Linked DNA regions of Diceros bicornis minor. The protein of the gene in region 3 interacts with the protein of the main gene of each other region in a pairwise test. Links are inferred from orthologs where the notes say so. Each region holds a gene or a part of one and is shown on either strand. Other genes may lie near its edges. The genes, in order: BICDL2, CEP57L1, KLC3 and TSNAX.

What was found.
Region 1: the proteins of KLC3 (region 3) and BICDL2 interact in binary tests that used the Homo sapiens proteins (3 or more experiments, as listed by UniProt). The two-hybrid records come from large-scale screens. The link is inferred for Diceros bicornis minor from reciprocal best matches to the Homo sapiens genes KLC3 and BICDL2.
Region 2: the proteins of KLC3 (region 3) and CEP57L1 interact in binary tests that used the Homo sapiens proteins (3 or more experiments, as listed by UniProt). The two-hybrid records come from large-scale screens. The link is inferred for Diceros bicornis minor from reciprocal best matches to the Homo sapiens genes KLC3 and CEP57L1.
Region 4: the proteins of KLC3 (region 3) and TSNAX interact in binary tests that used the Homo sapiens proteins (3 or more experiments, as listed by UniProt). The two-hybrid records come from large-scale screens. The link is inferred for Diceros bicornis minor from reciprocal best matches to the Homo sapiens genes KLC3 and TSNAX.

The regions. Positions count from the first base shown.
Region 1 is NC_080765.1:45,491,420-45,499,071, reverse strand, and holds the start of BICDL2 (BICD family-like cargo adapter 2), read right to left. Parts: upstream 3,003-7,652; 5' UTR 2,954-3,002; intron 2,708-2,953; exon of another isoform or gene 2,584-2,707; intron 1,655-2,583; 5' UTR 1,641-1,654; coding exon 1,359-1,640; intron 1-1,358.
Region 2 is NC_080762.1:26,352,917-26,360,814, reverse strand, and holds the start of CEP57L1 (centrosomal protein CEP57L1), read left to right. Parts: upstream 1-4,894; 5' UTR 4,895-4,905; coding exon 4,906-5,019; intron 5,020-6,295; coding exon of another isoform or gene 6,296-7,693; exon of another isoform or gene 7,694-7,728; intron 7,729-7,898. Other genes in the region: FOXO3 (forkhead box protein O3), read left to right, coding at 6,296-7,693. UniProt on the Homo sapiens protein: Centrosomal protein which may be required for microtubule attachment to centrosomes.
Region 3 is NC_080773.1:19,617,979-19,625,100, reverse strand, and holds the start of KLC3 (kinesin light chain 3), read right to left. Parts: upstream 3,001-7,122; 5' UTR 2,948-3,000; intron 186-2,947; 5' UTR 178-185; coding exon 1-177. UniProt on the Homo sapiens protein: Kinesin is a microtubule-associated force-producing protein that may play a role in organelle transport. Plays a role during spermiogenesis in the development of the sperm tail midpiece and in the normal function of spermatozoa.
Region 4 is NC_080745.1:24,675,046-24,681,954, forward strand, and holds the start of TSNAX (translin-associated protein X), read right to left. Parts: upstream 3,007-6,909; 5' UTR 2,901-3,006; coding exon 2,885-2,900; intron 2,436-2,884; coding exon 2,331-2,435; intron 1-2,330.

The DNA.
Region 1 (7,652 bases), on a different chromosome or scaffold from region 3:
CGGGAGGAAGTGATGTCTGAATTGACTCCTGCAGGGCAAGAAGGAAGAGGGCTGCATGCAAGAAACGGCAGATGCAAAGGCCCTGAAGGGACAAACTTGGGTTACTCAAGGAACTGAAAAGATGTGCCGGGGGAGGAAGTGAGTGCAACTGAGATGAGGTCACGGAGGTCCACACGCGAGGACTTTTCAGCCTTTGTGAGGAGTTTCAGTTTCAAAGTGTGAGGGGTAGCCGTTGGGAAATTCTGACCAAGAATTGAAATGATCTGATTTGCAAGTTTTTTTTTTTTTTTTTTTGGTGAGGAAGATCAGCCCTGAGCTAACATCCGATGCCAATCCTCCTGTTTTTGCTGAGGAAGATTGGCTCTGAGCTAACATCTGTGCCCATTTTCCTCTACTTTATATAGGACGCTGCCGCAGCATGGCTTGACAAGCGGTGCATCGGTGAGCACCCGGGACCTGAACCTGCAAACCCCAGGCTGCCGCAGCGAAGTGCGTGCACTTAACAGCTAAGCCACCGGCCGAGCCCTGATTTGCAACTCTTGAAGATCCTCTGGCTGCCTCATGGACAATGGGCTCCAAGAGGCGAGAGCGGAAGCTGGGACCACTGAGGAGGCAGCTGCAGTGTCTGGGGCAGAGGTGATGGGGGCTGCAGAGACGATGAGAGGTGGGTGGACTCAGAATCTATTCTAGAAGAACAATCCACAGGGCTCGTGGCTGTGGGAGGAGAGGTCATGGAGATGCACAGGCTCTGGTCCTGAGGTAAGAGGCCAGGATGGGGACAGAGGTGATGATATCACAGTCAAGAGGGCCACCAATGTGGAGATGTCCATTAGGTGGCCCTGTGGGGAGAGTGTGGCGTGGTAGGCTACCCAGGTCGGGTACAGGGCAGTGGTTGGGGCCGCTGACAACATGGATACAGGGGTCAGTGGTGTCCAGGGTGTTTAGGGGGCCAGACGTGACTGCCAGGGTGAGAGAGTGTTTGACAACAGAGCCTGGGCAGAGAGAAGAACTGTTCCTCCTTCACAGGGTGGGGTGAGAACTGCCCAAGATGGTGCATGGAAAGTGCTCAGCCCAGAGCCAGGCAGGGAGGGGGCACCCGGTAACTGTTGCCTGGGGTGCGCTATACTGCGGAGGAGCTGGACCCAAGATTCAGAGAGGGCCAGAGGCTTACCCAGGGTCACACAGCCAGGCAGGGGTCTGAACCCAGGTCTTCATTTGTCCTCAGAGCCCCTGTTCTCAACCACCGAACAACACTGCCAGGGGGACTGAGCCCAGCCCTGAACTGTTCCAGAGGCATCCCTGTGCCCAGCTTTCCTCCCCTGCCACCTGCCCACCCCTGTGCCCTGCCGGCAGCTCACTTCCTCACGCTCAGAGTGCTGGGCGCTCAGTGTCTCCAGCTGCTGATGCAGCTCCTCGTTGCGCTCTAGGAGCATTTTGCCGAGCTCCGCGGCCAATAGCAGGTCTTTCTCCTTCTGCTGCAGCTGCAGGGCCAGGTCCTCGGGCTCCTCAGGCCCTGGGCCCCCTCCCAGGAATGAGTCCCGTCGCTCCAGCACAAAAGGGAAGAAGCCCTCGTCGCCGCTGGGGGAGGCACCCCCCGAGAGCAGCCCCGATGGGAAGCTCGGCCCTTCAGGGGAGCTCATGGTGTCTGCAGCGTCTGTGGGGATAGGTAGGTCTGTGGGGACAGGTAGCCACAGAACACTCTACTCTGCAGCCCAGCAGGGCTCGCTCCCCACTGCCCAAGACCTGGCCCTCCTGCAGTTCTCCACCTGCCCACTGCCCTTCCAATCCTGCAGCCAGGGCCGCCCAGCTCCGTTAATGTCCCCAGGGTAAACTGAGGCAAGGAGAAGCAGGAAATGAGCTGCCCTGCCCCCTGCCTCCGGCAGACATTCTCTGCTCCCAGGTAACCTTGCCCCAGTTCTCCTGGACCACAGGCCACCCGCTGACAGTCCCTGCCCCCTGCTCTTCCCAGAACCCAGCTGTTCTGGCTCCTAGCCCCCCACCGGCTGGGAAACTCTTCCCAGAACCCAGGTTCTTAGGGACTCAGGACTCAGAGATGAGTCCAGTCCCTTCTCCTCCCAAGATTCCAGGGCCTTGGCAACTTAGGTGCCCTCACCCCTTTGCCCCCAGAAACCCAGCCCCTCCTCTTACAGAAGCCCAGGGCCCCAGCTCCTTAGGACTCAGATGCCCTGGCCCTTGTTCTCCTGTTTTCTCAGCAGCCAGGGGTTTTGGTCCTCACCACTCAGAACTCAGGTGACCAGACCCTCAGCCCCACCCCCCACCCCTTCTGGAGTGTTGGTCTCAGCCCCCAGTTTCCCAGGGCCTGGGTATCGGGCCCAGGGCAGGGCGAGGTAACAGGTTGTGCTGGCGACTGAGCGCGACACCGCAGGTTTCTGTTTACTTCCCGGCCCGCCCCTGGGGATGGAAGCCTGGTGGCACTGGCCTAGGGCGGCCCAGGGCCCAGCAGGTCAGGGGCTCCAGAGGGAGAGGAGGCACAGGGCTTCCCTGGTAGCTTCCCCCTCCAGCCCTCCTGAGGTCTCCCCACCCCCTACAAACACACACACACACACACACACACACACACACCTGTCCTTCCCACTCCTTTCCTCGCCAGGTGTCCAAGCCTCAGGACCCAGGTGTCGCCGTAGTCCCGGCACAGCCACTCTCTGGCCGGACCCGGGGTCTCCCAGACGTGGCCCCTGCGGCCCGACCCGACTCCGGAGACCCGGGGGCGTCTCTCCTTCTTCCCCCTCCCCTCAAGGAGCTGCCCTTTAGCATCTCGACCCAGGCATCAGGGCCCCCAGCCTCTCGACCCCAGCCACAGACGTCCGGAGCCCCGCCACCGCCTGCCTTCCTGCCGGCGTCCCCCGCCCCCCAGGCGCCCGCGCTGAATCCACCCGGTCCTGTCCCGCCCAAGCTCGAAGGGCCCGTGTCCTCGGCGCCCCCTAGCTCTCACCCGCCGACGCCGGGCTCCCTCCGAGGTCCCCGCGGTCCCCGATCCCCTCTTCCGGAGGCGGTGCCAGGTGCACTGGCCGCACAGGTGAGGGGGCGGGGCCGCGGGCGGGGCCAGGGCGCCCCCTGGTGGCCGGAATGGGCAGGCGGAGGCGAAGGACAGTCTCCTCCACCCAGGTCCGAGGCACTGACTCATCTTGCTGCCATCGCAAATGACAGGGTCCATTAATCGAGCACCTACTGTATGCAGACCTCACCGCTGAGCTCCTTTCCCCTCACACCTGCCCTGTGGGACAGGAAATTATTAGCAATCATAATAACAACAAATCTAACCTGTATGAAGCACTCTGCTAAGTAAGCTGTTTTATAGCACAACTTGTTTACTTTCATGACCTCCTAATGAAGCAGGAACTGCTATCATCCTCAATTTACAGATGAAGAAACTGAGGCTCAGGGAGGATCTAACTTGCTTGGGGTCACATGGGCACAAGTTGAATGTGAACGGCAAAAGTGTGACTTTAGGGTCTGTGCTCTTATGCTGACATGGGGCTGCAGGTGAGGACAGATAAAGCGACTTGCCCGTAGCCACATCTCAGTCCATGTGGCTCCATTTTGGGCTCTTGGTTCCCAGGCAGCCCAGAGCTGGACACCACGCTCCAGTCAGGGCTGGGGCCCTTGATGTGGAGATCAGGAGGGTCCAGGGCTGGCTCCGGGCTCCAGCCCAGTGCAGCCTGAGTATGTGGGTGATGCCCCAGCCATGACCTGGTGGCTTCTCACGAGTCTCCTGTCAGGGTCCCCTGGCCTGGTGAGCAGGGACAAACAGAGGGCTGGGAGCAGTGGCGTGCTGGTAACATTTAACAATGGGCTCTCTGGGGGAAAGAAAGCCCAGATTTGCTGCCTTCACCAGTTCCCGAGGTATAAATACTCCCTCCACGGCTGCTGTCAAGCTACTGACACGACGTCGTTGAAGGTGACATTGGGCGGAGATATGCATGGTCAGCTTTTGCCAGCTGGCACTGGCGGAGTCCTGCACACTGGGGCTGGGGCTCAGCACTCCTGAGTGCCTGGGGGCCCAGTTGCCTGGGTCCTAGGAAAATAGGAGGAAGAAGGGAGCTGGGACTCCTGACTTGTGGGAAAATGGGTGCAAGGACTCCCTGGAGGGGTGGTTTAGGGGCTGGGACTCCTGGGTCCCGGGGCTGGGACAAGGTTCCCTGCCAGCACAGAGTAGGGGCGCTAATTCTTTTGCAAAGGGGTCTGAGGTCTGTGTTGCCTACCAAGGCCACCATTTTCTCCCGCAGCACCTGTGGGAACAGCCTGGTGGACTTTGGAGGGCTGGAAATACCCCAGTCTCCCCTTGGTGCTGCCACCCGACCCCCTCCAAATGCCAGGGTCACCCTGGATCCCACTCATATCACGCCCACACTCAACACATCTTCCCAGAGCCCCCTTCTGCCAGGCAGGGGGCTGGGCTCATCTGGAGATGAAGTGGTCAAAGCCCTACTCCAAGGAGGTTCACAGTCCACCCAGGAGCTGGGAGGGGGTGTAGACCTATAAACGAGAAATGAAGCAATAAAACAGTACAGCAAAGGATCTTGGCTCGTGGCACTGGCATTGCATGGCTTTGGTCCAAATCCCAGTGTGGCCACTTACCAGCTGTGCACACTTATGCCGTTCAGCTGATTAACCTGCAGCCCTCAGTTTCCCCATCTGTAAAGTGGGGGTGATAGCAGTTCCTAGCTTACAGGGTTGTGAGGATTAAATGAGGGTGAAGTAGCAGCCCTTAGTTGGTGCTGGCGATCCTCTGCACGGCCACAAGCGGTGACTCACCACGCATGTTACAATATATTCCATCCTCCAGCAACCTGTGAGGTCATACCATTCTCAGCCAGGAATGGGCTCAGAAAGGAGAAGTGATTTGCCTGTGGCTACATGACCGACCTGTCTTCCCAGCTTGCCCGGCTCCCAGCCCCAGTCACTTTTTGGACATTTGAATCTGGCCCCCAGCCTTCTCTGGACCCAGGAGTCTGGCCTCTGGCTTCCCTGCTGGACCTAAGTCCTGGCCTCCTGGCCCCTCCCTCAGCCCCCAGCTCCTCTCCCCTAGCCTCCCTGCTGATCCCAGGGGAAGATGGCAAGGAGGGACAGAGTGGCCCCAGGAAAGCCCTAGGGAGGCTGGGACTAGTCCAGATAAGGGAAGGGATGATAACCCAGCCCTCACCTGCTCTCCAACTGCCCCCAAACAAGTTAGCTTCCTGGAGCCTCCAGGCCCATACTCAGCCTGGAACATTCTCCCCAACCTTCCCAACCACCTGGTGGGCCCCTGGTGTTCCAAGTATTGGCTCTGGGGACTTCTCCCTGGGGAAGCCTTCACACATGTCACAATGCCTTGGGCAGTCTATGCTGGGCATCTGGAGGGCAGCAGAATGCCCCACGGCATTCCCTGCCCCCTCCACAGAGACACCCCTGTGGGAATGGTGTGGGTCCAGACCCAGGCGCCTCCAGGCTTTTACAGTATATGCAAAGTTTATGAACAATAAGTACTATTGTTTGGAGCATTTAAAACCTTTATATAAAATATTTCACACTGAACGCATTGTTCTGCAGCTTGCTTTTTCCATTTAACCTGATGTTTCCACGTTTTTCCCAACTTAAAAAAAGTCAGCTTTTTTTTCGCTGAGGGAGATCAGCCCGGAGCTAACATCTGTGCTAATCCTCCTCTTTTTGCTGAGGAAGACCTGCTCTGAGCTAACGTCTATTGCCAATCCTCCTCCTTTTTTTTTTTTTCCTTCCCCAAAGCCCCAGTAGATAGTTGTATGTCGTAGTTGCACATCCTTCTAGTTGCTGTATGTGGGATGCGGCCTCAGCATGGCCAGAGAAGCGGTGCGTCGGTGCGCGCCCAGGATCCGAACTCGGGCTGCCAGTAGCGGAGCGCGCGCACTTAACCGCTAAGCCACGGGGCCAGCCCAAAAGTCAGCTTTAAATTGAGGCAGATATTCATTCCCTAGGGCTGCTGTAACAAATGACCACAAACTAGGTGGCTTAAACAACAGAAATTTATTGTCCCATAGTTCTACAGGCCAGAAGTCCAAAATCAAGGTTTGGGCAGGGTTGGTTCCTTCTAGAGGCTCTAAGGGTGAAATGTATTCCATGCTTCTCTCCTGGCTTCTGGTGTCTGCTGGCAATCCTTGGTGCTCCTCGGCTTGTAGCTGCATCTCTCCAGTCTCTGTCTCCATCTTCACGCGGCCCTCCCCTCTGGGTCTTCTCTGGGTCCCATATCTCGCTCTCCTTTCTCATTTAAGGACACCAGGATTTAGGGCCCATCCTAAAACCAGGATGATCTCATCCTGAGATCTTTAACTAACTTGCATCTGCAAAGACCCTGTTTCCAAATAATGTCACATTCTCAGGGACTGGATGTTAGGACTTGGACATATTTTTTGGGGGATACAATTCAACCCACTACAAGGAATAATTAATATATGATAAAATTCACCAATTTTAAGTGTTTCATTTGATGAGTTTTGACAGAAGTGTAACTACCACCACGATCATGGTATAGAACACTTTCATAACCCCTCAAAGTTCCCCGTAATCCTTTGCAGCCAATCTCTCTCGCCACCCCTAACCCCTGCAACCACTGGTCTGCTTTCTGTCACTATTATTTTGTGTTTCCCAGAACGCTCTCTAAATGGAATCATGTACAGTATGCGGCCTTTGGGCCTGGCTTATTTGACTTAGCATAATGCTTTTGAGATTCATCCGTGTTGTATGTATCCATCGAATCAATGTCTGAGAATTTTTCAAACCTAAAGAAAAGTTGTAGGAATAATATAAAGAACACCCTCCACTTAGGCTCACAATTGTGAACATTTTTCCACCTTCACTTTCTCTTTCTCTGTCAATTTAAAAAGCAAATTTGCCTGTTATTTTATCTCAAAATGAGTTTATTGGAGAGTAGACAAAAGAATTGCCATTCAGGATGTGCATCTATGGCGTACCATAGGCAAATCCAGAAAAGAGAGGAGGGGAGCTGCCTTTATAGAGAAAAGGGGGGTAGGGAGGGACTGTCCTGAATGAAACTCCTCTGGGGAGATGTAGCAGGTCAGGGCGGCAATGCTTCTCATTGGCTAAGCTGCAGTATTTCCGATTGGCTGGGCTGTTACCTGGTGAGGAGAGAAGTCTTCCTTCAGTAGTAAGTAGTTCTCCTTACTGTCCAAGGTGCAAGCATCCTCTTTTCTTGTTTGGTGTAATTGATGATGTGTGATAGGGCTGAGAGCTCCCCCTACAGGCCTTCCCGACCCAATTTAGTTAAGGTTTCTTTTATTAATTTCCATGTCTCTTACACTACACACACCTGCACATATTTCTCTAAACCTCTGGCTACTTCAGCTCGCATCTCCTGAGGATGCAGATATTCTCCTACATAATCATGTACCATTATCACATGTGATAAACTGAACACTGATAAAATAGATACAGTAATCTTACCTAATATACAGCCCACGTTAAAATGTTCTCAGTAACGCCCTTTTTACATGATTTTTTTTTGATCCGGGATCTAATCTATGATCATGTATTGCATTTAGCTGTCATTTCTCTTTAGTCTCCTTTAATCTAAAGTAGTTCCTTGTCTTATACGTCTTTCAGGACATTGACTTTTTCTTGAAGAATCCAGGCAAGGGTTTTCCAGAATGTTTCTGAGATTT
Region 2 (7,898 bases), on a different chromosome or scaffold from region 3:
GACAACCATAATTCTCATTTTGCTGCTTTTGAGACAGCAGAAAAAAAAAGAAGAAAAGGCTGTCTTTTAAAAAAAAAAGAAAAGGGCAAGAGCCTTTAAGAGTTAAATTACACAACTCCCTTTTTATTTTTAAAGTCAGTGGATTCCTTGTTGCTGTTGCTGAAAAAGATAAATTGATACCACATGTTGCTTCCAGACAAAACCCTCTCTGTGTTCCAGGGGAAGCACATGCAGCTGGTGTCTGGGTTGGTGGACAGTCTCCACACGGTAAACACAGTTTGGAAGGGGCTGAAGCGGACACAGGGTAGCAACAGTTAAGAAATTACCAGTTACTCCTGACTGGCACAGCATCTTTGAAATTCTTTTAAGAGTTTGAAATCTTTTCCTGGAAGGAGCCGCCCTCACACCTTTTGGCTTAAAGTATATGGTGCTCGGAAAACAGTAAGTGAACATTTGTGATGTCACTGCTTCCGTATGTGGGATCTGACAGTTGAGAGCCTCTTTTGTGCTTGGCACTCCAATGAGTACTCTGCATGCGCAATTTCATTTACTCTTTCCAAATATCCTAGAGTTAGGCAGAGAGGGTGTTTTTATCCCCATTTTATGAAAGGGGCAACCAAGGTTAAGTCATTTGCCCAAGGTCGCAGGACAAATGCCAGGGCCAGGATTCCGACTCGGATCTGGCTGACATCAAAGCCTGCGGTCTTTCTTCGGCATCACGCTGCCTCCCTCCGTTGGCCTCCTTAAATGCATGTGTGAATTATCCACTTTGTAAAGTATTGGTGGAATACTTTTTCGTTTCAGGCAGCTTCTCTCCAACACCTAATCTGATCTGTTTTGGGTCCATCTGTCTTCACAACCAGTTGGCATATATGTAATCACTATGTGCACTTTAGCATTAGCAATAAATGCATCTTGCAGTAGACAGCTGCCTTCAGTATAGCAAGAAAAATAATTACCAGATTCTGATGTGTACAGTCATCTTGATGCTAATTTCTTCGAGGAGGGCCAAGCGAAGGGATCCCTAGCCTGTGGCCCACATGAACCACAGTAAGCATAGCGTGACTGTGGAAGGAGAGTTGCCTCATGCTGCCTCCTACACACTGCTGCACATACCTTGAAATATTAGGCCACTAATTGCAACTGCAATCACAAAGGACACCATTTAGCCAGTTGTTACTAATTAACTACACCTAATTTCTGTCCCAGAGCAGAGCTTGCTTCTGTGTAAATGGTTTTGTAAAAGAGAAGATTGAGGGGGCTGGCCTGGTGGCATAGTGGTTAAGTTTGCACACTCTGCTTCAGTGGCCCGGGGTTCGCAGGTTCGGATCCCCAGTGCGGACCTACGCACAGCTTATCAAGCCGTACTGTGGCAGGCGTCCCACATATAAAGTAGAGGAAGATGGGCACGGATGTTAGCCCAGAGCCAGTCATTGTCAGCAACAAGGAGAGGATTGGCAACAGATGTTAGCTCAGGACTAATCTTTCTCACCAAAAAAAGTAAGTAAGTAAAGAGAAAATGACATAAAAATGAGATGAAGAGTATTCTTATCTCTGCTCTCTCTTCAGACACGTTGTGATGGAGTTGCTTTAAGGGTTCCCTAAATCTTTGGATCCATGTTGGAGAAAAACTGGTATATTTATCCCTGAAGCTCAAGTTTCTTTCTAAAGATGGTGCTTTCTTGTAATTCATCAGTATCCTGATTTCTTGGTAGTGGATTTGACTAACCGGAACTATTCAACATGGTCTGGGGTTGAGGTTATAGTTGCTTCTTGGTGCCTTTAGTTAGTAAACTTGATGACAGAATGGCCTGAGCTCTAGCAATAGGAGTCTTGGTTGGTAATATTTACCTTTTCGCCTTAGCCTTAAGGAGAGCACATCCCTGGTACTTCAGCCAATTAACATTGGCCTGCCTCACAAGGTGTTTCAAAATGTGTATTTAGATGTGATCAGAAAAACCACTCTAGTCCTATCAAACCATTCCTCCTTTACCTTCAGCTCCTGATCCCCAAACTAATGTAAAATCTTAGAAATTTAGACTATTTGGTAAGATGATATATGAATTAGTGGAAAACCATAGAATATTTTTAATCTGGTAGTTTTATAGTTTAAAATACACATAGTACATTAGAGACTAATTGACAGAGCCTAATGGAGAGGTCTTTAGAAAACTTAAACTATAAATCATAAGAGGATTTTACAGTTGGCTTGCCTATTTTTATAAATCCCACTTCTTTATTCCTGGGATTGAGGTGAGGGAGGAGCAGTTTGAAATCTTACAGAAATCATATCATCATTAGTTTTTGTCATCAGGGAAGGTGTGGAGAAACATTGCAGTTCTGACATTTTATCCAGCATTTATTTATTTACCTTTTCCTGCTTCACCAAAATTTAGATAGAGAAGCTAGTGATTAGAATCACGACCTATGAGGGAAACCAGAATACAGTTCTGGCATCTGACCTTGTCAGAGTGAGGGGCCATATTTGTTAGCTTCTGTCAATGCCCTGCCTTCAGATAATGGATTTTGTAAATGGAAGGCTGGCCAGCCTGTATGGATAGAAGGCTGCTAAGAAAGGGGACTATGAGGATGGTGGTGGCACAGTTTCTGTTTGTGTTGTCTCAGTAATGTAACTGGAAAAACCTGTCTGAGTGTTGTGTAGGTAATACACCTCAGGGAATGTATTCTGCCACTAATAACCTCTAAAACAAGAATAGAGCAAATATTGGACACCGAAGCTAATCACCCGTGTAATAAGTTGGGTTTTGTTTCAGAATGGTAACCACTGCCCTCTCCTTAGAGTGAATGCTGTGGTGGGCACCTTAGCAAAGAAAGCATCTGCTCAAGTGAGCCTTCACTTATAGGTTTGCTCTTCTGAAAGACAGGCTTTCTTTTAAATTTTTTTTTTTTTTTTTAATTTTAGAAAAGACCCACCAAATTATTACCCCTAACTATTTTGTAAACAAAATTGCAGTAATAAGATTGTGCTTTTGTATCTTTCTTTCATAAATGTTTGTTTCTTTAAATGTTAGCACAGATAGGTTAAACAATGACTTCTACATAATTTGGTGACAGACCTTTGGTTCTTATAGACACTAGCTGTGTGACCTTGTGTGAGTTATTTAATATCATCTCTCAGCCTGAGTCTTAAGATATATGATGAGGGCACTGATGCCAACTTTGCAGGTTTGTTATGAGGATTAGAGACAATGAATCTAAAGCCTATGGCCCAGTACCTGCTGGTGCTGTAATCAGGCAGGCTCTCCGTTCTTCACCCTGGAAGTTAGGGCCTGGGCTCTGACCCCTGCAGATCTGTTCCTAGGTATGGGGATGCCAGCCCCTCTACCATGTACCCTTACAGAAGCTTAATTTTTATCTCCAAATTTTAACCAATTGTAGCTTTTCATTTTATAAAATTACACGTATACATTGTCGGGGTTTAGAGTTGTAGTAATAGATGACCATTAGAAAATTCATACAGGGCATTTTGGAGATCTCTAAATTATTTCTTTTTTTTTTTTCTCAGTTTGGAATTGGTTAAATTAAAAATACATTTTTAAGAAATATTGTTCCCTAAATGCTTTTTAAAAGGAGGATAACTGGATACTTATGATTGGTCATTGTTAATTCTGAATGTTGGTCTGAACTCTTTCCAAAATCTGGAGCAGAGGGGCCTGGCCAGGGTGGGGGTGACTGGACCAGTGTCCACGTGGCCCCGCATAGCCTCAGCCTATTTTTCCACCAAGAAGATGAAGCTTAAGTTTTTGTTTAATATATCTAGTCGTGTGAATACTCAATAGTAGAACCACCTTGCACTTGCCTGCTTTGTGAATCCCACCAAGTGAGTTTTAAGAGCATGCTTCAAATCCATTTTACAGAGACAGTGTTTTACTTTTTAAAGAAATGTAATTTCTGAACCATTAGTAGAGATGCCATTATTCTTTTAAGAACCATACGAGTGAAAGGGAAGCAGGATATATAGTCTCCTGGGCAACATTTGTCTCATCAGATACAGGCCTGTTGCCTGTTTGCTTCTCACAAATGCATCTTTATGGCCACCGTAGAAATGCCAACTTTTGACCCACGGTTGTTGACGCTCACTGCCCAGCCTGAACTGTAGGCCTTCCTTGCACAGAAACATAGACGTGGGAGGTACTGTGAGTATTTTGGGTTATTTACTTATGGTAACATCCCGCTGACTTGCTGTGTTTTAAAAACATTCTGGTAGAACACATGTATTTGTATCTTCTACATAAATACAGTTGGCGATTGCCAATTTTTTTAAAACTATGGGAACTTTTAGGATTGTTCGTATTTAATGCACAGCATCAGGCAACATCTTATGTCTTTAACTTGCAAATAAAAACTCATCTGGCCTGCAGGTGCTGTTCCAGATGTGGAGAATCCATCGACTCCTCTCTCTTATTCCACGTGAGGCATTTTACAGATTAAAAGGAGCTCGCACAGGTGGTGAGCTCTCTCCACCAGGGACTCGGTGCTTTCTAATAGCGTAAGAACACTCTGATTTCGTACGTGACTGGCTCCTAAAGTATCTTATCATATATCATCCTTACGTCATCCCTGTCAGGGAGGGGTGATTTGGATGCTATTAGGGCTGTAATGAAGATGGAGAACTGGAGTTATTGCAGATGGGTTAAGTGATTTGCTCAAGGTCACATGGTTGGTCACAGACAGAGATGGGACTGGATCTGGGTCATGCTGTCAACTGGGCTTATCTACCAAGCCAGGAGGAGGATTCTTGCAAGATGGGTGTAGTCATTAGTGTTTTGAAGCTATTTTTCCCTATTTCTCTTTTCTTTTTTTGTGAGGAAAATCAGTCCTGAGCTAATATCTGCCAATCCTCCTCTTTTTTAGCTGAGAAAGACTGGCCCTGGGCTAACATCCATGCCCATCTTCCTCTACTTTATATGGGACGCCGCCACAGCATGGCTTGACAAGCGGTGCATCGGTGCACGCCCGGGATCCGAACCGGCGAACCCTGGACCGCCGCAGCGGAGCGTGCGCGCTTAACTGCTTGTGCCACCAGGCCGGCCCTCTCTTTTCTTTTTTAATAAACCTTTTAATTTAGAAGAGTTTCAGATTTACAGAAAAGTTGCAAAACTAGAACAGAGAGTTCTCATATACCCAACATTGTTTTCCCATATTGTTAACATCTGTTAGCTTGGTACATTTGTCACAATGAATGAACCAATATTGACACATTATTATTAACTAAAGTCCCTAGTTTATTCAGACTTCCTTCATTTTTACCTAATGTCCTTTTTTTGTTCCAGCCTCCCACCCAGGATACCACATTATGTTTGGTCATCATGCTTCTGTAGGCTCCTCTTGGCTCTGATAGTCTTGAGGAGTACTGGACAGGCATTGTATAAATGTCCCTTAATTGGGATTTGTCTGGTTTTCTCCTGGTTAGACTGGAGTGATGGATTTTGGAAGGAAGGTGCCATTTTCATCACATTATTTGAATGCATGTCATCACCATGACTTATCCTGTTGATGTTCCCCTTGGTCACCTGGCTGAAAGAGTGTTGGTCGGTTTTCTTCAGTGTACAGTAACTCTTTTCCCGCCTTTTTGTACTGTTCTCTTTGGAAGGAAGTTAACTATGCTCAGACCACATTGCCTTGAGGGGAGAGTATCTATAAATTATTTGGAATTTTTCTGAATGGGAGATTTGCCTGCTTCTTCTGTCATTGCTGCCATTTTTTCCTTAAGCCTGCCAGACAGGTATGACATTGTGGCAGGAGGAGACGGAATCATAGAAAGGATAGGTTAAAAATGCACTCCAGTTCTGAGCTCATAGAAGTTAAGAAAAGGTAGATGCTGCTTCTATGCTGGTGGAAGAGGGGACGATGAGAGAATAAATAGCCCCTGGGTGATTCATTATCCTAGAGCCAGGGAGGTGTGTGGCGAAGTGCGGGGAGAGGGTGGTGTGGTAATAAATTATAAGTGTGAACTTCAGAATAGGAAATACAATTACAGAAAGGACAGCAAAACTTAGGAATTTGGGGAAAACAATGTCAGTGAGCTTATACATTCCCAGCATCTCCTGGATATGAAACCATCACCCACCTCCTAAATATAAAACTTGCCGTTTACAATGTTGTCATTTAACTCCAAGCCAAGGCGGGTCCTGCAGCTGTTTGTCTTTTTTTTTTTTTTTTAAGCCTCTGAAATTGAGGAGTTTTTAAAAAATGAGTCCGATTAACTGTTTCTTCTCGGTACTCAGTTTGCAACATTCAGGCTCATCTTCTGCATTTTCCCTTCTCTCTGCAGAACTCTATCCGGCACAACCTGTCGCTGCATAGCCGGTTCATGCGGGTCCAGAATGAGGGGACTGGCAAGAGCTCTTGGTGGATCATCAACCCTGATGGGGGGAAGAGCGGGAAGGCACCCCGGCGGCGGGCCGTCTCCATGGACAACAGCAACAAGTACACCAAGAGCCGTGGCCGTGCAGCCAAGAAGAAGGCAGCCCTGCAGACAGCCCCCGAGCCAGCAGACGACAGTCCCTCCCAGCTCTCCAAGTGGCCTGGCAGCCCCACATCACGCAGCAGCGATGAGCTGGATGCATGGACGGACTTCCGCTCACGCACCAATTCCAATGCCAGCACAGTCAGCGGCCGCCTGTCACCCATCCTGGCAAGCACAGAGTTGGATGATGTCCAGGATGATGATGCGCCGCTTTCCCCCATGCTCTACAGCAGCTCAGCCAGCCTCTCACCCTCTGTAAGCAAGCCATGCACCGTGGAGCTGCCACGGCTGACCGACATGGCGGGCACCATGAATCTGAATGATGGGCTGGCTGACAACCTCATGGATGACCTGTTGGATAACATCACGCTCCCATCGTCCCAGCCATCGCCCCCCGGAGGGCTCATGCAGCGGAGCTCTAGCTTCCCATACACCACCAAGGGCTCCGGCCTGGGCTCTCCCACCAGCTCCTTTAACAGCACGGTGTTCGGACCCTCGTCTCTGAATTCTCTGCGTCAGTCTCCCATGCAGACCATCCAAGAGAACAAGCCAGCTACCTTCTCTTCCATGTCACACTATGGCAACCAGACACTCCAGGACCTGCTCACTTCGGACTCACTCAGCCACAGTGATGTCATGATGACCCAGTCAGACCCCTTGATGTCTCAGGCCAGCACCGCTGTGTCTGCCCAGAACTCCCGCCGGAACGTGATGCTTCGCAATGACCCAATGATGTCCTTTGCCGCCCAGCCTAACCAAGGGAGTTTGGTCAATCAGAACTTGCTCCACCACCAGCACCAAACCCAGGGCACTCTCGGTGGCAGCCGTGCCTTGTCGAATTCCGTCAGCAACATGGGCTTGAGCGACTCCAGCAGCCTTGGGTCAGCCAAACACCAGCAGCAGTCTGTCAGCCAGTCTATGCAAACCCTCTCAGACTCTCTCTCAGGCTCCTCCTTGTACTCAACTAGTGCAAACCTTCCGGTCATGGGCCATGAGAAGTTCCCTAGCGACTTGGACCTGGACATGTTCAATGGGAGCTTGGAATGTGACATGGAGTCCATTATCCGTAGTGAACTCATGGATGCTGATGGGTTGGATTTTAACTTTGATTCCCTCATCTCCACACAGAACGTTGTTGGTTTGAACGTGGGGAGCTTCACTGGTGCTAAGCAGGCCTCATCTCAGAGCTGGGTGCCAGGCTGAAGGATCACTGAGGAGAGGGGAAGTGGGCAAAGCAGGTCAGTGCCCAGTGCTATGGCATGATAACCCAGTGGGGATGGTTGGGGGAGGCTGTCTTTTATTTGCTTTGAACTTGACTCCACATTGAGAATTTGAGAACCGTGGAGCGGTGGTGCACAGTAACATGGCTGCCGCCAACCAGTTCATCTCCAAGTTTTACCTGCAAAAC
Region 3 (7,122 bases):
AGCCGCCGGGCCCTGCCCTGCCAGGGCCTCAGCCAGGTGCCCGGCCAGGCCGCGGTGCTCTGCCCGCAGGGCCTCCAGCCCCTGCACCACTTGTCGCGTCTGTCGCACCAGCTCCTCAGGGCTCAGGCGCTCGGGGCCCAGCCCCGTGCTTCCGGGGGCTGCCACCTGCACGGACATTGCTGCTCCTGGGGGGTAAGCGGGATGGAGGAATCACTGCCAGGGCCAGGCACCAGCCCCTCAGCCTCCAGGCCATTCCGGCCAGCAGGACCCTTCCCAGCTCTCCCTCCCTCTCCATCTTTCCCGGCCAGCCCTCCGCCTCTGTGCTCTGCCCACTCCAGCCAGCACCCTGTCCCACACCCATCCCGGCCGGCCCGAAGCTGGGAACAATCTCGTCCAGCTTTGCCTGTCCCGAGGGCAACCCCAAAACCCCACTGTGTGTAATTAACCAAAGGAGGGCACACCGCTGGCTCGCCCTTAGCTCACCTGGCCGGCCCTCCCCACCCCGAGGACCCCAGACACCCTGGCCCGGAACTCCAGCTGTGGGACCTGGGACTGGAGGTGCCCTCCTCTGCTGGGCGTGTGGGGCGGGGCAGGTGGAGGCGGCAGCCTCTCTGTGAGCTCATTCTTAGGGTGTTTTTGTTGGGAACCAGTCAGACCACTGGGGGTGGGGCGCGAGGAGAGGGCCAAGGGGCTGGAGTGCCGGAAGCAGAGGAGGCCTCCAGGTTGGGGGGGTCAGGGAGGGGGCCCCATGCGTTGGCTCCCAGGGCCTGTGGAGCTGACAGACCCAGAGGAGCTCCGCCCTCCAGTGCAGACAGGCCCAGCCAGCCCAAGGCGTGTCGGGACACACATGTGGCAGGCGTGGCCCATGGGTGTCATCATTCCGGCCGTGTGACAGCTGAGGGGCTGAGGCCCAGATCGTAATGGGTGGGGGTCTCATATGTGGGACTTCATGTGGCTGTATGTGGGTGACAAGGTCCATGACAGCTGGTGATACCTCTGGGGCCCTCACACACACAGACACACACACACTCTCAGAAATATAACACTCTCTCCTTCCTTTCAAATATGACACAATACACATTCTCAGAAATACACCTCAACACACACACACACACACACACTCCCTTGTTAGAAATATAACGTAATACACATTCTCCTCTCAGAAATATCACACACACACACACACACACACACATTTTCCTTTCAGAAATAACACATGTACACTCCCCTCTTAGAAATACAACCCAACACACAGGTCTATTTTCTCTTCAGAAATAAAAGCCAACACATGAAGAAGCTCTCTCTGTCTCTCCCCCTTCACCTTCGAAAAATAACCAAATCCCAGATCACTCACATCCTGTCTCCTTGCACCTGTCCCCATGACACACGCCCTGTCCCACAGTCCTACAGTCCCGCAAGCAGCCACCTCTCCAGTATCTGCCCAGCACCTCCTCTCAGCACCACCACCACCAGGACTCACTGCGGATCCGTCACCATCTTCCCCACTTCCTTCCACGCCCCGCCCCCTGCCAGGCCAGCCAGGGATTCGCAGGCCCGCACGTGGTGCACACACACATACACGGACGTGCAAATGATCCCTGAACTCAGACTCAGTTACGCTGTCACAAGTGGGTGCCCACGGCACAGACGGCTGTGGAGACGCGCAGAGGGAGTGCCACAGTGTCCACACCCGCCCCCCACAGGTCACCATGTCCACCCGAAGCAGCCCAGCGGTTTCTGCACCTGCTCGCACGTTCACCATCACACACACACACACACACACACAGGAAGGGCAGGTGTGTAATCCTGAGGATTTTATATACGGCAGGCTCTCAGTTGCCATCAATCTCTCTATACGTGTATATATGTATGTCACACCATGCTTAGTCTCACACCTCACACACAGGCCCCATGAACAAACTCACAATCACACAAGTTCATTGAGCCCTTCTGACAACCGCAACCATTATTCATGCAGTTTTGCCGACGTATACAACCTCCCATGACATCACACACAATCTCAGACAGCTGAGCTGAATGCTCCAGACCCAGCTTTGCACGCACCACCTACAGCCAGACTGGCAACCGTGGTGGGTAACGGTCACAGCCACACTCACGGCTCGACCACAGCCACACATCACGCGGGTTGCTTCCTCCACACACACCAGTTCCCACCCTCATACAGCCCCCCAAGCCACACACTCCCCTTCATGTGCTCAGCCCTGTGCACACAACCCACAGCTAACAATGATAGTCACAGGCACACCGCACACATCCATGCTGTTCCACACACTCCCCACCTCCCTGGCACCCTCCCCATCTTACAGGCAGAAAGACAACCACGGCCACACACCCTCACACCTAATCCTATAAACAGTTCAATGCCCTACCATACACACAGGCCCCCCCCAACAGTATTACAGACACACCATCAGAGGCACCCACGTTTTCACATCAGCGAAACAATTCCACATCATTCACACAGTCTCTCTGCCCCCTGGCAGGGTTACACCGACGGTCCATCTCCCTTTGACACGCACATCCACAACCTGACACCATCACACACACCCCTGAGCTTCGTGCACCCTCACTCATGCACACGCACACACTCGCAGGCACGAGGCCCCCATCCTGGCCAGGCCCCCCCAAACCACGCAATGTACTCCCGCCCAGCCCCGCGCGCCGTCACAAGGGCCCCCTCCCTCCGCGAGGCCCCGCCCCGTCCTCGCTCCTGTTTACCTGCGCACGGGGCAGGGGGCGCGGCCCCAGATGGGCCTCCAGAGCCAGGGAGCCCCAGGCCGGCGCAGGGGGCCTCCAGGGGTCCCAAGGCCCGTCCCCGTCGCAGGGCCAGCGGGCCCAGGGGTGCGCCAGGCCCAGCTCCCATCCCCCGCCCCCGTCCCCATCCTCGCGGCCCCCGGGGTCCCCGCCCCGCGCTCCCGGCGCCCACCTGACCGCCGACGGCTCCGGGCCCCGCGGCCCCGCGCCGCGCCCCGCGCACGCCCCGCCGCGCCCCTCTGCGCCCCGCGGCTCGGCCCCGGCTGCTCCTCCGGGGCGGGGCGGCCATAGGCCACGCCCCCAGGTGAGGCCGGCCACGCCCACCGCCCGGGCCCCGCGGGGAGAGCAGGACCCCGCCCGCGGAGCCCGGAGCCTCCAGGGCACGTCGAACCCCAGGGTGATTCCAGCGCGCTGGAGGCCTGAAACGGAAGCTAGAATCTGGGAAACTCGGCATCTTGGAAACTTTGGATCCCAGACCGATGGCCTGCCGCCCGGCCTTTGCCTTGGCAGTGCCCATGCTTGGACCTCCCTTCCCATGGATCTCGTCGTCTATCTGGCCTCTTCTCAGAGGCCGCTTCCTCCGAGAGGCCTTCCTTGCCTGCCCCTTCTAAATTACACTCTCCCACCCAAACATACCTCATTTCCCTGCTGGATTTTGTTCGCAAAACTTTTCAGGGCCTAAAATTATTTTAGGTAACATAGCACATTATTATGTTATGTTACATCACATTGTTGGCGAGGTAACTGACGGCTAAAGATTGGCTTTGGGTTCAAATCTGATTTCAGCACTTGCTGGCTGTGCAGGCCTTGGGCCAGTAACTTAACCTCTCTGTGCCTCCGTTTTCCTAATCTGGAAAATGAGGATAGTCAAAGGCGGAGAGGATTGAATGAGTTAATACATGGATAGGAAGCATTTAGCAAATATTAGTTACTGGTTATATGATATTATTGGTTCTCCAGGACTAGAAAGTCAGCTCTTGAGGTCTGGGTTCTGTTTTGTCAGCACTGTTATTTTTAGCACTAGAACAGAGCCTGGCGCAAAGTAGGTGCCCAATAAATATTTGTTGCGTGACTGACAGAATGAATCAAGTCGTAGAAACGTAAATTGGCCAAAGCTGGACGCACAGGATTCTAGATCATAGACTTTGGTTCAACGCGAGTTTTTCCCAACTTCGGGAGCACTCCGGTCGCTGCACTACAGGATGCTTCCAGCAGAGGGCGCTGGGGGACCGTGGACCAGGCGCCAGATCCAGCGCGGGTCCTTATCTTCCCGCAGAGCGGCAGCCAAGCTGCTCTCTACCCCCTGGTTCTTCGAGCCCCACTGCAGATGCTTCCTGCTCTAGGAAGCCCTCTCTGATCCCCCAGGCTGGCTCAGACGCCTCTTCCGGGCTCCTGCCGCCTCCTGGGCTCCCACATCCCAGCCCTGCCCGCTCCGGGTCGTCAGTGTCTTGAGGACGGCTCTGCCTCCCCCGCTGGACTGCACTGTAAGCCCGAGGAGGGGACGACGGCCCAGGACAGTCTCACTCATCACTGTGTCTCCAGTACTACCCAGCCCAGGCCCAACACGGAGAAGGCAGTCGGGAGAACGGGTGTTGATTGAATGATGGAAAATAAAACTCAAATGCACGCTCTTAACTTCTCCAGGTTATTTCTAGGGAGCAGGGTAGAAGGGTCCAGCTGAGTCCCTCCCTTTCCCCCTCCCCCACTGTTTTGGCCTCAGGACACTGGACGTTGGTTCTGGATCTGCCACACACTTACTACAAGGCAGCACAGGGAGTCGAGCCAGGTGGCCCAGGTGCAAATCCCTGCTCCATCGTTTGCTGGCTGTGTGACCCGTTAGCCAGGAACTAACCTCTCTGGGCTTCAGGTTCCTGGTCTGTAGAACCAGACTGACGAGGGTACCCTACTTTGTGAGGCTGTTGGGGGATTAATGAGTAATCCCTTTCAAAGGCTTAGCGCAGAACAGCGAGTGGAAACACTGTGTGGGTGGGGGTGGCGGTGGCTGGGAGTTGGAGCCAGCGAGACCTGAGTTCAAATCCTGGGCTCGCCGTTTCCTTTCCTCGTGACCTGGGGCAGGCAATGATTTTCTGAGCACCTGTTTCCTCATCTGTTAAACCAGGATTGTCACGCTCGTCACAGCACAGTGGCGAGGATTAAATGAGATAAAGGCTGAAAGGAGAAAGTGTTGACGAGGGTGACCATTTCTTTAGGCCGGCCCTATGCCAAGCACTTTCACACAGCACCAACGAGGGCTGGATTTTCTGAGTTCTTAGCCAGAACTGGCCCTATGTTAAGTCTTGTAAATTAACGCTGTTAATCCTCACACCGACCTGATGAGATAGGTGCTATGATTATCCCCATTCCACAGGTAAAGAAGATGAGGCACAGAGAGGTCAAGTGACTTATCCAAGGTCACACAGCTGAGGCATAGCAGAGCCTTGCATCCATACAGCACCCCCTGTGGTAGGCACTATCACTAGCCCCATCTAAAGATGAGGAAACTGAGGCCCAGAGAGGAGGAATCCCTTGCCCCAGAACACAGCCCAGAAGGCACTCAACCAAACTCCCATCCTGTCATTGAAGGCCTCAGTTTGCCATGTCAGGAAAATGGGTGGATGGATAAGGATCTTTTTGATTGTTACCTCTTGGCCAGTTTTTAGAAAGCTGCCCCCCCCCCTTTTTAATTTACAAAGTAATGCACTGTCAGAAAAAATGTCACAGAGAACAAAGACTAGTCTCTCCTTGGTCCCCACACATCATTCCCAGAAGGAAACTCCCAGTTTCTGACATCCTTCCAGAGGTATCCCATGGACACGAATGATGGCCTTGGCTTGGGTGTGGTCCTGTGAGTTGCTCTGACCAATGGCAGAGGGACACAAGGGATGGCCAGGCCGGTTCTGAGCTTAGACCTTCAGAGGTTCAAGAAAGACCTTCAAGACATTGACTGTCTCCTTTTGTGTCCCCGCCTCAGCATGAGAAAGGCCCCCGCTGCGTGGCTGCTCCCCCTCTGGCCCACACCCCACAATGTCCACATACTATCAAAAGATAAACTGAGGCAAAGTAAACATTTTAAGAGTTTATTTGAGCAAAGATTGATTGGAATCGGGCAGCTTCTGATCCAGCAGATGGAAAGGTGCTCTGAGGAGCAGGACAAAATGAACGACTTATAGGCAGAAGGGAGCAGGAATGAGGAGGTTGTATTAGGCAAAAAGGCAGCTTGGTGACTACAAGGTCACTTTCCCTGACAGGGGACGGCAGGGGCCTATCAAGCAGATACCGATCTAGAGCTGACCAGGCGATTCCTGATTGGCGGGTTAAGACTCCACTTCCGGGGCCGGCCCGGTGGCGGAGCGGTTAAGTGTGCGTGCTCTGCTGCTGGCGGCCCGGGTTCGGATCCGGGTGTGCACCGACGCACCGCTTGTCAGGCCATGCTGTGGCGGCGTCCCACATAAAGTGGAGGAAGATGGGCACAGATGTTAGCCCAGGGCCAGTCTTCTTCAGCAAAAAGAGGAGGATTGGCATGGATGTTAGCTCAGGGCTGATCTTCCTCACACACACACACACACACACACGCACACGCACACACACACACATATACACACACACACACAAAAGATTCCATTTCTGGGAGAGCGGAAACCGTCATTCAGTTCGGTCTCGGTTTGGTGATTGGTGACGTGGGGCTTAGTGTAAGTGACTCCATTTTGAGCCTGCTGAATTGTTTTTAACAGTATGGAGCCGAGCTTCCCAGCTGAGCCCGGCCCAGATCAGCCAACTCTCAGCCGACCCCACGCCCATTTTTAAGCTACTGCATTTTGGGGTGGTATGTTTCACAGCCTTCTTGTGGCAATAGGTCTATAGTTATTTTTTCCCACTTAGCAATATATCTTTGTGCTATGGTCTGAATGTTTGTGTCTCTCTCAGATTCATATGTTGAAATCCTAACCCCCAAAGGTGATGATAAGTATAAGTACATGGGGCCTCTGGGAGGTGATTAGGTCGTGAAGTTGGAGCCCTCATGAATGGGATTGGTGCTCTTATAAAAGAGACCCCACAGAGTTCCCTTGTCCCTTCTGCCACGTGAGGATACGAGAGGTCTGTGATCTGGAAGAGGGCCCTCACCCGACCACGCTGGCACCTTGATCTTGGGCTTCCAGCCTCCAGAACTGTGAGTAATACATTTCTGTTGTTCGTAAGCAACCCCGTCTTTGTTACAGCAGCCCGAATGGACTCAGGCTCTTGGCAGTTTTTCCAGAGCGTTACATATAGATTAGCTTTACTCTTTTTCACAGCTGCATATTATTCCAGTAGGAGATGTCTCATCTTTTATCCATTCATAAAAAGACT
Region 4 (6,909 bases), on a different chromosome or scaffold from region 3:
ATGTTAGCTCAGGGCTGATCGTCCTCAAAAAAAAAAAAAAAGTTTATAACTTTTAATAATATCAACTTTCTGAATTTTTAAGCGCTAGTCACTGAAATACCCATAAACCACTTAATACTGCCGCAGCACAGCTTGCCAAGCAGTGTGTTGGTGCGTGCCCGGGATCAGAACCGGGGAACCCCGGGCCGCCGCAGCAGAGCGCACGCACTTAACCGCTTGCGCCACCGGGCTGGCCCCATAAACCACTTAACTTTTAAATAACCACTTTATTTCAGAAGGATTGTCACTTCAAAGACCTAGCAAGTTGCCTGTCATATAGGGAGCACGCAACAGATGTATTTTGCATGAATTACAAAAAATCCAAAACTTGAATAAACTACTAAATTAGTAGTTAACAAGGACCTAAATACATCTTGTCTTTTATTATTGAGATAATAATTAGGCTAGGACTTTGCCTAATATTTCAAGACAATCAAATGTATTCGTTATTTATTATGAATACATTAATGACCACTACACAGCTGTCATTATGAATACAAAGTTAAATAAGACAGATCCTATCCTCAAGGAGTTTAGTCTAGTATGAGACAGAGATGTAAACAAATAAAATGTGATCACACTATAATAAATATATGTAAAAGGTTCAGTAAAACAGGAACCACATTTTTTTTGTTCACTACTAACACATGCTAGAACACAGCAGATGCTCAGTAAACACTTCATGACTGAATGGATGGAGGGATAATGAATGAATGCCATGTTTGTCACCAACCTGCTTGAGAGAAAAATCCGAAAGGCTTCAAATAGAAGCTACCTGATCTAGGTTTTGAAGAAAACCATAGTTCACTGATGGACAATGGGGGCACCAAGTTAGAAGCAATTCCAAGCTTAAAGAACTATGTGTGAAAAGGCAGGCAGAAACATAAAACACCAAAACACACTTGGAAACAAGCAGCTCTGTAGTCCACCGAGTATATAACTGTATCAATATGCTCTCTACTCAATCACAACTAGTTGTCTTACACCTCTGAAGATCACTTTAAGTGCGGTGGTGGTTTTAAGACACATCCATAAGTTATTTGAGACTCTTCCCTTCAAAAGGTGGAACGTAATTCCCTTCCCCTTAAATATGAGGCAGAGTTTTTAAACTGCTTCACTTCTAACAAATAGAATGCAGCAAAAGTGATGGTGTATGATGTCTGAGATCAGGACATAGGGGACTGTGGTTTCCTCCTTGCTCTCTGTCCAGGGGAAGCCGGATGCTGAAACATGAGTGGACTCAAACAGCACTACAGAGTGGGCCACGTGGAAAGGAACCAGAGGTGGTTTTTGGCAGAAGGCCTAACTCATCAATAGCTGTGGATCCTCCAGCCCCAATCAAGCCTTCAGATGACCGCAAGTTAGAATCAATAGCCAAGCCCCTCTCGGCGTCCTGAACCAAGAAACTATAAGGTACAGTACGGTAGATAGAGGACAAGAGAAAGGAGAACTTTGCCTTACGTTTTGTTTTGAAATGAGGAACAACTTGACCAAGTTAAAATACTGAGAAAAGGGGGATTGTGAATACATATATACATAGGATTCCCACAGGATCCTGTACATAGGATTCTGCACGAGTTCCCACTCTGTGCAGAGTGCTACAGTCAAAATAAAATTATAGCTCCTATCTTCAAAAGTCTAGTTGAGGAAAAAAAACCAACACACGTTAAAAAATTAATTAGAGGCCAGGCCCAGTAGCATAGTGGTCAAGTTTGGTGCACTCCACTTCAGTGGCCCAGGTTCACGGGTTCAGATCCCCTGCACGGACCTACACCACTCATCAAGCCATGCTGTGGCAGTGAATCACATACAGAATAGAGAAGATGGGCACAGATGTTAGCTCAAGGCCACTCTTCCTCAAGCAAAAAGAGGAAGGCTGGCAACAGGTGTTAGCTCAGGGCCAATCTTTCCCACCAAAAAAAAAAATTTAATTGATCATATATGTATATAAACACTTGACATATATATACATATATGTACCTGATATACATATATCTAATTTATATATATGCATATATCAGGTACACAACAATTTTTAGTTATGTGGCATGTCTGACATTAATGTTTACCTGTGAAACTTTAATGGGAAAAAAAAACCCAGGCCTTTTGTAATCTCAACTTTCATGGCAGACCTGGCACCACGGCAAAACCTCCAGGAAAAGTAAAAGGCTCAGATATGCACATCTTAAATTCTCAAGGGCTGTTTTCTTGCAGACAACATAACTAAATAATCCCTGTTATAATCTCTTTAGTTCTCTTCCCTTCGCCAACTTACATGACAGAGAACTTACATTTGAAGGCCAACATCACAGGCGAAGAGGAATTAACATCCTTCCCTTCTCTTCTCTGGTTATGTGGGAAATTGTCATGCTTCCTTTTCCTGAACCCTCCTGATCCTTACGTAGAGAAGGAGAAAAAAGTTGGATAGGGCTCTTCTCTTACCAAAAGTTGACAAAATATAACACAGGCAAATCCCTTCCTTCCTTTAAACCAGAGGCCCACAGAGTGCTCTCCTTACAGGCTTTCTCAGCTGAATGGCAGGAAAGCAGCCCCGCTCTTTTCCCCCCAAACTCTAAGCTCACCTCATCCAGGCCTCCAGCAATGATGTGCACAAGCTGGGGAATTACCGAATTAAGCTAAAAATCAGCTCGAGAATTTAATAAAATGAGAGGTGCAAATAAGGCCATTTGGCCGGGAAAATCACCAGGGCCGGCCGCTCCCACCCACCGAGCCTGCAAGGGGAGAGGGCATCCCTCAAGGGTGAGGAGAAATGGAAAATCCCACAAAACGGTTGGAGATCCTCTCCCTCTGAATAAATAACGCCCAATGCTGCCGAGGACGCCACCTTCTTTGTTGCTCATGTCGTCACGGCCTGCTGTGAGACGAGCGGAGGCTGAGGGCCTTGGTGAAAGCGGAGCGCCGAAAGCCTGCCGAGGCGCCCTTTGCTGCTGGCCGACGTCGACGCACCCACCGGAAGGCGCGCCGGCAGCCACTCAAGCCTCTCCCTTCTCTCTCGCACACTTCCGGCCTGCGACTCAGCCTCGCCGCCACTGGCTCCGCCCCGCACGTGGCCCGGGGGACCTCGCGGCCGGCGCTGTCGTTGCGCCTGCCCTCGGCTGTGCCTGAGGACAGAAGCGACTCCACACGCTTCGTTCTATGCGCTGTTAATGAAAAAGACGATCCGTCCTCCTGGAGGTGAGTCTGTGTGAAGGTGGGAAAGCGGCGAAAAGTGTACGTGATTTTTTTCCCTCACGGCACCTTTGGAACACCCTCGCGTTCCCGCAGCATGGACCCAGCCCCCCGCGCGGTGCATAGTGGGGGTTGTAGTTCCCTCGCAGGAGAGGGCCATGTGGTGCTGGAGACCGGGCTGTGAGAAAGGACTGCGCCAGCGATCTCCTGTGGGAGGTCCTCTCAGGACCAAAGTCCAACCTTACAGAGTTAGGAGTGACGCCAGAAGCTAAAAGTGATGGAAATATGCAAATCAATAAGTTGATGGCGTTATTAGTATTTTCTCTGACGAAGGTAAAACAGCCCTCTGTTCTCCCTCTCCGTCCCTACCTGTCTCCCACCTTCTCCTCCCTCTTCTTCCGTCCTCTCTCGCTTTACCCCTTTTTCCTGGCTTTCTAGAGCCAGACTGCCTGCGTTCAAATTCGTGTCTGCCACTGAGTGGTTACCTGACTTGGAGGAAGCGGTTAACCTGTGTACCTCAGTTTTTTTATCTGTAAAATAGGGATGGAATAGTACCCGCCTCGTAGGATTATTTGAGGACAAAGTGAGTTAATACTAAGGCGCATAGAAGAGTGACTTTGACATGGTAAACGCTCAAGTATTAGCTTTGATACTCTTTTCCCAACGTCGCTCTCCAAAAAAAACAGACATCAGTAATAATAACGGGTGTGCACCGGTAAATTGTGAGCTTTTTATTATGGGCAGGAGCTGCCATATCTTATTAGACTTATTAGGCTTTGTGCCCACGCCACCCCCAATACTGCCGTAGTGCAGTGCCCTGGTAACTTCCGTAAGTGTTTGTTGAAGAATGACGCTCCCATCATCAGGATGGGTAACTAAGTGGCAATCTAGCATCCTCCACATATAAATTTAGGGTAAGGCTTGGTAAATTGGGTGGCCTAGGCCTAGTAGGGAAAACACAAGTATGTTTTGTTACGCTTTCTCTAAATAACCTCTGTATTGTAGGCATGTGTTGTACACACAGTCTTTCTTCCTTATTAATTGAGAAACAAAGGAACGGTAAATGAAACAAGTTGGCTAGAATATGGCAGTAGTTTCAAGCCCCTGACAGGAGTGTGTCATAAGAAGGTTTCCTGCTCCAAGTAATCTCTAGGGTCTTTTCCAACTCTGAAGCGAGAAGTAGCCAGCACCCATTATACCTTTGCAGCTTTTTGAATACAGGAATTGGTTAGCCAAATTAATGGTAGATAAAATAGGCTCCTGAAGACCTGGGCTGAACACTTGCTTTGTGGATGTTGGGCAGATAATTCTGAGTTTGTGTGAGGTCTGACCTTCCTGACATTGTCCACCAGTATCCCTCCAACTCTTTGATTAGAGATGACTTGATCATGAAAAAAAACAAGACAACTTTAATATAAATGTAGTCATTTTAATGTGACTTCCTCTAGATCTAAGGAAGCCAGTAAGTTATGGATATTTTTAGAGTCAGTACTTATTTTACCATAGTCTGGGAAAAGTGTATTTTTCCTGTCTCTACTGGAATAGCAGCTCCCTGTGAGATAGGTAGCTAGGTAGACATGAGCTGGGGGTCATAGTTGGAGACCTTGCTGCATGCAATGGAGCGTGTTACTGGCATCCAGACATGAGTGGAGGATCATGGCTGGAGACCTTGCTGCATCAATGAAGCATCTTGCTGGCATCCTACAAGATGCAGATAAAGGAGAACCGAGACCTGCCTGGCGCCACCGCTGGAAATCTGAGGCCATCAACCATGACAATAAAAATAACGGGTACACAAACAGCACGTACAAAGCCTTCTGCTATACACCTCTAGAGGACATTGACTTTTCTTTAATTTACATACAAATTCCATATGCATTAGCCCCCTTCCTCCGGGGATGTCTGCCATGACAGTTCCAGAGACTCCTCTAGAAGGTTAAGAACTCCCCATCCCAACGTGTGGGTGGAGGAAAGACCATTATTGGTGGATAACCAGATAGTGCTAATTCCCATCAAAACAGCCCAAATAAAAATAAACCTAACCCACGACGCAGGGCAGATGCATTCTCTGGCGCTGTCTGCTCCTCACTTGAAATGTATCTGACCTTTCCTCTAATAAATCTGTGCTTGCTTGCTGTTGCCATTGTGTCAGTGTCTGAATTACTCTCTTCCACTGACCAAGAACCTGGGCGATTGGACTCTCCAGTCCAGTTACACCTAGACCTCAACTTTGTAAAACTGGATGAGCCATATTTTCTTTCTCCAGCCACCACTCCAGTTCAACTGTTCAACTATAGCTGTGTTACTTGAACTGCTTTTCACTGCTTCCCACAAATGTGAGGATTAGAACACTAAGTTTCGGAACCTGTAATGACTTCTCAAAGTACTTAATGAAGGTGAATCCCAGTGACACTTTCCCAGCATTCATTTGCATATGCAGTTACCCCAGGTGTCCCAACCATAGCTACTCCTTTGTCAGGAAATACCTTTCAGTCTCTGACAACCTGCAGAAGGCATCTCCACTCTGTCTGCTTGTTTTATTGCTTCAGGTGCATATACGTAGTTTTGGTGTTTGACAAAACATATTTTTGTTTGGTTTTAAAGGAAAACTTCTACCCCAAGTCAGGGAGAGGAAGGTAAAGATCTTTGGTAAGACCTTACCTCTGGAATGGTTTTCTTTCCTCCTCCTATTGTTGCATTCTAATTGCCCACATTTGACTCTGAATAAAGCTCTAAGGCTTTTAAGCATACCTGTTTTTATTTGGTTTATAAATCCTCACTTTTGTTACCTTTACAGGAAAAAAAATCACATATCAAAACTGGTTTTGGATATTGAAAAAAAATCATATACAGTCATGCGCTGAATAATGACATTTCAGTCAATGATGGACTGTGTGTACGATGGTGATCCCATAAGATTAGTACCGTATAGCCTAGAAGTATAGTAGGCTATACCATCTAGATTTGTGTAAGTACACTCTATGATGTTTGCACAACCACGAAATTGCCTAACGATGCATTTCTCAGAATATGTCCTGTTGTTAAGCGATGCATGGCTGTAATCAAATAAGAGAAGAAACATAGGCCTTCAAGAGATTTTCTGTTCCCACGTTTACCTTATTATGTAGTTATTACATAAACTCTGGAGGTGGGGGAGCAGAAATCATGGGGAATTGCCAGAATCTTGAGTGACCATTTTTAAAATGGTAACTATAATATTTAAAAGATACCTGTAGGGTCCAAAGTGGTATTTTGAAGCATGCACATAGCAATGCACAGATTTATTTTTCAAGCAACGCTAGGACTTAGTAGGAGAAAATGATGTTCCAGTTCTTTACTGGAGAGGGAACCTGGTATTTGAGGGAGTAAAGAGAGATGGGCAAAACCAGAATGAGATACCACTTCACATCACTAGGATGGCTATAATAAAACAAACAAACAAACAAAAAATAACAAGTGTCAGTGGGCATATGGAGAAATTGGAACTCTCATACATTGCTGGCAGAAATGTAAAATGGTGCATCCACTGTAGAAGACAATTTGACAGTCTCAAAAACTTAAACATAGAATTACCATATAACCCAGTAATTCCACGCCTAGGTATATACCATGTGCGTGAATGTACATAGCAGCACTCTTCACAATAATCAGAAGGTGGAAACCATCCAAATGTCCATCAAC